3 linked regions of the Coturnix japonica genome follow. The protein of the gene in region 2 interacts with the protein of the main gene of each other region in a pairwise test. Links are inferred from orthologs where the notes say so. Each region holds a gene or a part of one and is shown on either strand. Other genes may lie near its edges.

The links.
Region 1: the proteins of LMTK2 (region 2) and MYO6 interact in a two-hybrid assay, tested with the Homo sapiens proteins (2 studies listed by BioGRID). The link is inferred for Coturnix japonica from reciprocal best matches to the Homo sapiens genes LMTK2 and MYO6.
Region 3: the proteins of LMTK2 (region 2) and PPP1CC interact in binary tests that used the Homo sapiens proteins (3 or more experiments, as listed by UniProt). The link is inferred for Coturnix japonica from reciprocal best matches to the Homo sapiens genes LMTK2 and PPP1CC.

What each region holds. Positions count from the first base shown.
Region 1 is NC_029518.1:73,467,010-73,470,759, forward strand, and holds the start of MYO6 (unconventional myosin-VI), read right to left. Parts: upstream 2,470-3,750; 5' UTR 2,399-2,469; exon of another isoform or gene 2,281-2,398; intron 1-2,280. UniProt on the Homo sapiens protein: Myosins are actin-based motor molecules with ATPase activity. Unconventional myosins serve in intracellular movements. Myosin 6 is a reverse-direction motor protein that moves towards the minus-end of actin filaments.
Region 2 is NC_029529.1:1,153,541-1,157,290, reverse strand, and holds the start of LMTK2 (serine/threonine-protein kinase LMTK2), read right to left. Parts: upstream 2,730-3,750; 5' UTR 2,543-2,729; coding exon 2,416-2,542; intron 1-2,415. UniProt on the Homo sapiens protein: Phosphorylates PPP1C, phosphorylase b and CFTR.
Region 3 is NC_029530.1:5,178,970-5,181,560, forward strand, and holds the end of PPP1CC (serine/threonine-protein phosphatase PP1-gamma catalytic subunit), read right to left. Parts: intron 2,341-2,591; coding exon 2,206-2,340; intron 1,769-2,205; coding exon 1,679-1,768; 3' UTR 516-1,678; downstream 1-515. UniProt on the Homo sapiens protein: Protein phosphatase that associates with over 200 regulatory proteins to form highly specific holoenzymes which dephosphorylate hundreds of biological targets.

The sequences.
Region 1 (3,750 bases), on a different chromosome or scaffold from region 2:
GCCTGCATCCCATCCCAGCTCCACCTGTGGCCAACCCCTGAGCCACAGCAGCTTTACAGGATGGGCCTCAGGGGAGTTTTCTTCCATGAATTCATCCGGTTGCTTTTTTTGTCCCTTTGAGCTTTCGGTATCCACATGCTTCAGAAAGGATTTCCAAAGCTTAAGTAGCTACACATTGGGTAAGTAAAAAACACCCTTTTGTTTGCTTTGAACCTGCCAGCTTAATCTCCTGCTTTGGCATTTCGTACTGAAAGCGACAGTAAAGAATTATTCCCTTCTCACCTTGGCCACATCGCTCACATCACCATACACTGTAATTCCTCTGCCAAAACATTTCAAGGTCTTTCTCAGATCAGCATTATTAAACACCAAGAGAGCATGAAGGTTAGAGGGAGTCACAAGGCTGCCTTTGCAGAACAGGCGTGGGGAGCCAGGAGTTGACTTTCCTTATGGGACCTTTATGGTTACTGTGTCCAAACACCGATGGCACATCCACAGGATCATTATGGTTACTGTGTCCATCAAATACCAGCAGGTAGCAATCCCAGACTCAGAGTTCAGGACAGGTTACACTCAGACACCCACCCAACTAGAAATACAAGGTGAGGGAAACAAGCTCAATTTGCAGTTTCTACAAGCTACTACTGAAGCGCTTCTTACTTCATGATGTCAGTGAGCCTTGCAGCAAACTTCTCTACCTTTACATTCACTCTGCGGGCTTTATAGCTTCAGAGGGACACAACTGTATTGCCACAGAATCATTTAGTAACTTACACAAATTAAAAGCACAGCCACTAAAAATATAGGCAAACTAAATCCTAACTTCTACTTTTGAAACCTCTCCTATGTTGTATTTACTAACCAGTGCTCCAACAATTCTGATGTTTACCATCCCACCCCAGCAATAAACTCTTACACTTTTATTCCTTGCAGTTACTTTATAAAACATATACTTCAAATCTAACCTGCACATTAGTACAGCTTTATGGCACTTGAGCAAGCATCATAAGGTGGCATTTGCTTATGCTTATACATTTCCACAAGTTTTATCATTTAATCGCTTCTATTGTCCCTCAGCCTTTACCCTAGCATTGTATTTTGTCTTGAGAAGACAGCAGAAGAAAGGCTGCAGGTTAATGTTAACTCAGGAGTCCATCCCTGCCCTTGGTTAATATGCCACACTTGGAATAAAGGAAGGTTGAACACAGTGGCCAACCTTTGTCCCCCAGCACCTGCTCACCCAGTCCATAGGCCATGCTGAGCCTGCAGTGCCAGCAAGCTACGGGATGGCTCCATGGCTTGATTTCCTTCAGGAATACAGTGGGATACCAAGGCTGGAGGCATGACATGCTGTAGAAAAGGGCTGACAAGCAGCAATGTTTAAATGAAATAATAGGTAACAACCACGCATTCTTGTAATCTATAAGCTTTTAATTCAGGTATTTCAATTTTATAGGTATCTGGTAGCATCAGGATTTATTAGCCAGGAATGTGATTGCCCAGTATCAGGCAAGCATCAGCAGTACCTACAGTAACACTGTGAGCCGTCTTCAAGTGACAGCTAACAAAGAAGACACTTTTAATTCTTCCTATTTAGTAACAGATGTAAATAGAAGAAGTCAGAGATGGGTTTCTGTAGCGTATCAGCCATAGGCACACACTGCTTTCCATAGGCAGCCTGCCACAGCACTCGGGCAGAAGAGAGGAGATGCACTTCACTGCAGTTCACACCATGCCCAGTTTTGTCCAGACAAGACCGCAAAGAGTTTCTTTCCTTTACGGGGACAATCCCAGGAGCACAGAATTGCTTTTGAAGGGAGTGTGGATAAAACTCAGCGTTAGCTGGAATGCACGGCATTATACAGAGCTACACTTAGGACGGCGGCGGGAGGGAGGAGGGATGTTTAATAACTTTTCAGTTAAGGAAGTAAGGAGAAAGCACTTTAGCCCCAGCAGCACCTGATAAGGCAGCTCTGGGATGAATTCCTCCTACGGGGAGCGCTCAGGAAGGCGCCCGTCAGACTCCGGCTCCGCTCGGCCGAGCCGGGGAACCGCCCGAGCCGCCGCCCCCCGCGGGGCTGCCGGCACCTCCGCGCATTCCCCGGGACAGGCCGTGCCCGGCTCCCGGTACCGCACGGCGGCCTCGCCCGGCCACTCCCGGCTCCGCCAACTCCCGCTCCGCGCTCTGCCCACCTTTGCTGCCGCAAAACTCCGCCAGCCCCTCTCGCACACACCCCCACCCGAAGCCCCGCTGCCGGGCCCCGCGGGAGCCGCCCGCACCTGCCCCGTGGCCGCCCGGGACGCTCCGGCGAGGAGAGGCCCCTCCGCCGCCTCCACCCGCCGCCGAGCAGGGCAGTGGATCCCGGCCTGCAGCACGGCCCCGGCTCCGCGGCGTTACCTGCTGCTGTGGCCGCCGCTCCGCTCCCCGCTGCCACCGCCGCGCCGCTCTGCGCCGCCCCCCGCAGCCTGGTCCGGCCCGGCCACCCGCCCGCACGTCAGCGCCACAGGGGCCGGCCGGGGGCGGGAGCTCGGCGGCGGGGGAGGAGGAGGAGGAGGAGGAGGTGGATGGGAAGCCGTGCCCGGCTGCCGGCCTGCTCCGCAGCCACAGCAGAGGTCAATGGCCTACGAGGCCGCAGGACGCCGAGGGTCGAAGCCGCCCCGCTCCCCTGGGCCGCTCACCTGCGTGGGGCCGCCTCACCTGCGGACAACACCGAGCCCTCACGGCTGGAGGCGGCGCTGCCGTGCGGGAGGGATGTGCTGGGGGCTCCTGGGCCTGCCCCAATAGCTGCTGTTCGATGGGGGTTCCCGTTGTGTTTGCTAGGAGTGATGTTTCATGCTTTTTTCGTCTGTCTTTTTTTGAGGAGCCCTCAGTACAACAGAGACACGGACCTGTTGAAGCGCGGCCAGAGGAGGGCCACAGTGATCCAAGGGATGGAGCACCTCCTTATGAGGAGGACAGGCTGAGAAGCTGGGGCTGTGCAGCCTGGAGAGGAGAAGGCTCCAGGGAGACCTGAGGGCGACCTTTCAGCATCTTAAGGGGGGCTACAAGACAGAAGGGTATAACACAGATGGTTTCTATTCTGCTGTGGGAAACCTTCAAAACTGGAGATCGCTCTGTTCCTTCCACAGGAGCTCCCCTTGTGTGCACCCTGCTGTGCTCACTGCCATCACTGCTATTTTCTGGGAACCCACAGACACACTTCAGCTCACGACATGGCAGGGCAAGGGCCACGGCTGTGCAGCATATGTACCGAGTGTCCCCCAACCTCTGCATCCCTTGAGTGGGATCAGTCTTCACCCTGTCCTGTCTGGTGCTGAGTGCCCACTCTACCCTCAAAGGCAAGGGACACTCAAAACACCTCATACTATATCTAATGAGCCCTGCAAGTGTCAACAAACACACTTCAGTCTGTAACCAGCCATGCCCTTCTTGCCATTTGCATTACCTGGTTAGGCTCGTGTCCTGGATCTCACTATAAATGAGACCACTTATCTTGTCACCCACGCTCCACTGTTTGTGTTCACAACAGAGATGGGCAGCACTGCATCATACCTGTGACGTGTGTCATGCAGCCCAGGACACGTATAGCCACCCCTTCTTAAGCACCCACATGTGAGCTCTGTGTCACCTCCCCCACCCTGGGTTTTATGGGCACGCCTGGCACCACCTGCTTGTTGGCCAGCTGGCCATAAACACTTCACTTCTCTCTGTGCAGTGTTTCACAAGTGGCACCGTTGTCCTGACTTCAC
Region 2 (3,750 bases):
ATTCTGATTCCCAGCTTTCTGGAGAGGCAGCTGAATTAAGGTCAAGTATGAAAATCCAAGTCAAAATGAGAGAGAGAGTCTGAATTAGAATGTAAAGCTTTAGCACAGCAAAGCAGAAGTGTCAGATTATGATGCAGTATGTTTGTCCACAAAAATTACTGCTAAAGAGCATTTCTCACATAGAAATACATCAGCTACACTATGCTATAAAGGACGATCATCTTGGCCTGATGCACTCAGGTAGAGCACCTAATGCTCCACAGGCTCAGAACAGCTGAATACTTCATTCTACCAGCTGCTCCAAGCTGGAGCAGGTCAGGCCGAGCGGCCCCACAGAGGCAGGTCTCAGTTAGACCTGTCTGCAGCTCCAGCAGGTGAACTCTGGTACTCACAACAGTCACAGCACATCCCAGTACCTTCCCTTTCCCACTGACTGAACAAATTAAGTCAGTCTGTTTCTAGCTAGTAGCATCTTCAACATCTTGTTTTTCCTATTTTCTACAGTAATTGCTATGAACCATATCAGGGCAACGACAAAAACCTTCCTCTACCATTTCCTTTTTATTTTTTTCCTAGCAACTTCATAAATGCAGCCTCAAACATGGGAGACAAATATAGAACACGCCATCAGGGCACACCTTCATCTGCAAACACCGTGAAGACGTACCTAAAAGTACAAGCTGCATCATGATGAAGACACTTGGAACACGACGATTCCCCAGACACCAACTGCTGCAATTCCACAGTAGATCCACAAAACGGAACGTTTCTGAACAAGGAATCCAAGCCAGCCTTGCCAGAATCTGCCATCCATTGCCACTTCCTGCTCCCCAACTGCCTCCAAAAGAGAAATCTCTTCATCATGGGCACATTCCAGGAGCTGTTCCACAGTGGTCACTACAAACACCTCCCACAACATCTCCTTTCCTCCTTTTTCTGCTGAGCACCATCTTTCCAGCACAGCACTCGAGGCTGGGCACATCAAAATACTTCTCCACCATCAGAGAAGCAGCCCATCCTGGTAGGTGCCCAACTGGGGGATCATGAATTAACTCCAAAACCCATCACTAGTTTATGAAATGTCCATGAAATTATTCCTAACGTTACAACTCTTAAGCAGGAGGTTGTGTGTGTTGGTGAGCTGAGAGGGCTGCAAAGGTTCAGAGCGGGGTCTGTTATTTATTCTGAAAGTCATCAACGACTGCCAGTCCCAACACAGGAAATCAAAGCGACTTCCATGGGACACAGGAGGGAAAAAGTGACAATATAGCAGAGGCTGCTTCAAAAGTGCGATTTGCTTAGTGTGACTTCCCACTGCAACAGGTCTGTGACAGCATCAGAGAAGCTACATCCTCATCTCTGAGCTTTGGAGGATACGTGGTGCAGTCTTGATAGCAGAGCAATTCTCATTTCATGGGTTACTCTGAGAACACTCAGTGCCTGCACTGACACTGCCTTCAAACAGAAAAACCAACAACACTTCAGGACAAGAACAGACACCAAGAAGGAAAAGCCTGCTGCCCAGAACTGCTGTGCCCTCCCTCATGGCCTGACAACAAGGCAGCATCATTGGGAAATTTCTCACATATTTCATAAATGAGAAAGCTAGAATTTAGCCTCCAAGAAAATACAAGTGTGACCCAGGGCTCCTCAGGGCCTTCATTTCTCCCAGAACTTTCTTTTAGAAGGAGCAGCCTCGAGGCAGGCGGACAGAAGGAATAACTCATCAACAATGGAAATTGCCTTGGGAAGGAAACAAATGGCAAGAATGTAGGTCCAAAACCAAAACAAGGGTGGGATCCACATCCAGCCCTGATACTTTCTGTGGAACAGCAACCAAAGCGCTGAGCTTCACAGCTCCCCTCGCACTGCTGCCCTGCCCCGTCCAGCTGCTCCAAGCTACACCGACACAACTCAACCCCAGCGCATATCTGTGTCGAGCCCAACGGAATTCAGTCCCAATTCAATTTTACGTTCAGAAGTATCAATAAAGCACAAAAAAATGAGTGAATGATTGAGGCGACTGCTACCTATCAGAGCAAATAAACCTCCCCGCAGTGATTCGTGAGAATGGGAGAACGCACCGCCCGTGCGTGCCTTGAGATAAACAGGAAGACAAGGGCTCGAAGGCCGCCCGGTTACCTAACGCGGGGCCGAGCAGCCGGGACCGCATTCCCGTCGAGGGAAGCGCCGCCCGCCCCCAGGAGCCGCGGCCCCGGCGGGAGCACCGCATCGATCGGAGCGGGGGAAGCACGGCGCGATCAGCGCGGCTCACACGGGCGGCCGCTGCACAACAGGTCGCAGCGCGGCACGAGCGCAACGCGGGGTCTCGGGAGCCGCGTCCGCTCGTAGCGGGGCAGGACAGCGCTGCCTCAGCCGCGCCCCGCAGCCCCCGCGCCGCCCCCCGTGTCTCACCTGCTGCCGCCAGCGGAAGCGGAGCCGCCCGGCCGCTCCCCAGGAGCAGCGACAGCAGCACGGCCAGCCCGGCCGGGCCGCCCCCCCGCCGCCCGCCCGCCGGGACGAGCCCCCCGCGCCGCCTCATGTCCTCCGCCGCCGGGCCGCGGCTCGGCGCCCAATGAGGGGCTCGAGGCTCTCAGCGTCTCCGCGGAGCTCCTGCTGCAGCCGCTGCTCCCCGCCTGCGCGGCGCGGCCCACGCGGCATAGGCGTCCCCGCTCCGCTCACACGGCCCCTCCGGCCGCCGCCGCCGCCGCCGCCATCTTCCGGGCTACCTGACCGAGAGGGGCGGGCGCTCTGCTGACCGACAGCCCGCTGCGCCAATCGAAACGCGTCCCGTGTTCGGGGGGCGGGACCGCCGGTCGGGACCGGGCGGATCCGAGATTGACGGCCAGATCCGCCAATCGCACCGCACGGGGCGAGCTGGGCCCAGCGCAGGCTGCGGCGCGAGAACGGAGCGGCGCGTCTGCCAATCAGCACACACGACCCGCGCGGAGGGGGCGGGGCTTCCCCTGGAGTGAAGGAGCTCGGAACCAATCAGCCGGCACCGTGGGCATGGGGGCGGGGCTACGGGAGGAGCCCGCCTGAACCCGCGCGCGGGACCGACGGGACAGCGGGTCGGGCTGTGCGGCCTGGGGTAACTGCGCTACCAACGGCTCACATCTGACGTGTCTGAATCAGCTTTTCTTCCACCAGAAATATTTTAACTGGATAATAAGGTGGGAGACAATGTTCCGTTGTTTATTCTGCTCCTGCTAATGCTCGAGGTACTTTGTGACAGCAGCTGAGCAGCACGCCTTGCTGCGGCCCGTCACCTTCCAGAGCAGGCGCCAAGCCGGGCACTGCGCATCGCTGCTGTTGAGGTACAAACAGCTCATACCGCAGTGCAAATAGCGCCGTGTGCTGTGGGCACAGCTCAGCTCAGACACTTCTGAGATCTGACACTGACTTCATGCGAATTCCACAAGAAAATCACCCCGAGGTTCACAGCAGCTGCAGACCTGAAGCTTAAAGCTTCGTTTGCAGCCTGTCAGCAGGTTTGCAATGCAGGGGTGTTCTCATTTCAACAGCCAGAACAATTCAGTGCACTCTAAACACGGCAGACTGCCTCATTTCAGAGCCCGCCCTGTCCTAATTGAATGCTAAGCCTTTGATGTAACTTACTGATAACAACATGTTGTGATACTATCTGGGGAGTTACGGCACCGTGTCATTAAAGGACTCGTCAGAGCACTATGCTGTAATGACGGGACACGTAAGGTGAGCTGTGAATTAGTCACCGGCAGAATAAGAATG
Region 3 (2,591 bases), on a different chromosome or scaffold from region 2:
TGCTGCACAGATGGGTTCATGCATTCCTTTAGCTACGAGTGGGATCCGGCTCTGCATGTTCTGTTAACCAGATCAGGAATGATGTACATCACTGTTTTACATGGTGGACCAAAAATGAGAAAGCCATCAAGAAAACCACAGTGTGATTTAAGAGATGAGAGCAAGCCCTCTTGCAGGCAATCCAGCACCTCATCTAATGGGGCCATCAACAGTTACATGGCTACTCTGATTAATTAGTTTTAGAAAGCAAAATCTTCCAAGTGGGGAAACGCTTCCATTTAGCGGAGCAGCGCATTTAGAAGTGTGATGATCAATAGCTGGGATGCACTGGGCAGGGCCCATCAAAGTCCAGCTCACTGCAGGGGAAAGGAACAGAACTGATCTGATAAGCAGGATGCCAGAGCAGGGCTGGCAGCCAACAAGGCAGGTGTCTCAGTGATACCCTGACAGCACTGAGTGCCTGTAGCCCCTGGCACAGCCCTGACACAGCTCAGACAAATCAAACCAGAAGTGTGTGGGTTTCCAGAAGGATTTATTTATCTAAGTCATGTCCTGTGATAGCAGTAGTGTATAACGTTGTGATAAACCGACACCGAGAGGATTTAACAACTTGGTCGTTTAATAAGTGATTTTCACTACATGGTATTGTACACTGTCATCTGTTCAAAAAAGGTTCTCAGTCTTTAAAAAAGAAGATACCGTCAGGTACCTGCACCAGCCGCTGAGCAGTGCCTGGGTTGGCTCTGCGAGCTGCTTCCTGGGCGTCTCCATAGGGCAAAGTCTTTAGGCCAAAATGCACAAAGCCATTCAGGCAGGTGTGGAACCGTTCCTGTAACTTCCAGCTGTGTGACACGGCTGCCACGGGGCTGATGCAACCGTAACAAGTCCATTGGATACCACAAACTGTACAAAAGTGTTTAATTTTCCCATAATAGAACAAACAGCACAGCATTTCTACTGCTATTTCAAGTCAAGACTTCCTTTTCTCTCCGCGAGGAAGGCATGAATGGGAAGCCCTGCCAGCTCAGCGCGGTGGGTCACATACGTACAGTTTTTCTATGCAGACTTTGGCTTCAGGAAAGACACAAACACTTGAAATAATGGCTTTAGGTGTCACTTTGGGACAGGGATGTGTGTGTTTCCATTAAATATACATCATACCGGTGATGCTGGGGAGGTTGAAGGCTATTCCTAACGCTGACAGCGATAAAACCAACGTGTACAGGACAAGACGTAAAAAGAAAAGCAATCCCTTTAAAACAAATCTGAACGTAAAAAAAAAGTTCACAGTGGTTTGTATAAACAGTAAGTCATCTCCAACAGTAACAAACTCTACTCTCACAGCACACCAGTGCCCTCTTTAGATCCTAAAGGAGAAAACAAGCATTTACACTAATTGTACAGGTTGAGAAAGTCAGTCGTACGGTTACCCATCATGACAGGATCGATGCTGCGGAGCGTGCAGCCCAACACCAACAAAAGGGAAGCCTAAAACTCTTTTTCTTAGAAGGGAGAAAAGTCCTTCATTTGCTGTTACAACCAGCAAATGCCATTCATCAAATCAAAAGGGAAACCACAAACACGTTCTATTGTGAGCAAGCTGAACAGTACACGTTACAGTTTAAAAAGGAAGGTTATATATTATAATACAAGTCCCAACCAGGCAGTGCCACGTGGACTATTTCTTGGCTTGCTTTGTGATCATACTCCTGGGAGGCGTTACAGGTCTGCTGGCGTTGGGCTTTTTCTTCTCCGCGGGTTTCAGGATCTGAAAAAGACAGTTCAGTCATTAAGCAAAGTGCTGGCTGCCCTACACTCCACTCAACAGCCCATTTGGTCGTGTAAGGAGCTACGCAGATCATCTGGGCAGCTCATAAGCCTCTGAAATAAATGGGTTTTCTGCTCTGAGCTCTGTTGGGGCTTAGAGAGCAGCTGACCAGAGGGCCCATGCCAATGGAAGCAGGAAGACAGCTGATAGCTTTGCTCCAGCTATTTAATCCCAGGGTCAAACAGTTCATCTACTCACACCAGAAAGGGCTTATCACATTTTTAAAGCCACAAGGGCAAACACAGCTCTGCCTACACTCAATACGTGAGATCTATTTGAAGCAGGTGTTACAGGTGTGCGATGGCACAGTATAAATGGAAAAGATGAAACAAAGTGTTACTGCAATAACTGGGAGGTAAAGTTGTCAGATACAATACCTGAAAAGAACACATTAAGGTTTCATCCACGCTCATCATGGCACCTGCGTTATCAAACTCTCCACAGTAATTTGGGGCAGAAAAGAGAGTTACCAACTGTCTTTTTGCAAAGAACTCGTATCCATCTTCCACAACCTTTGGAGAGAAACACAAATTACACCAGGCAATTTCCTCCAGACAAAGTACAGTGAAACGCAGCTCTAGCAGAGTCAGCAGCTGAAGAAACAGTCATAGCCAAGGAGCACCAGTCCTAGACTTTCACCCCCAAACTGGGAAAACATCACAAGCTCCAGCTCAACAAGGTCCATCAGCAATAAAAGCCACCAGAGTTCTGTGACGTTGAAAGCCATCTTGTTCAAATACCAGCCCCACACTATGAATGCACT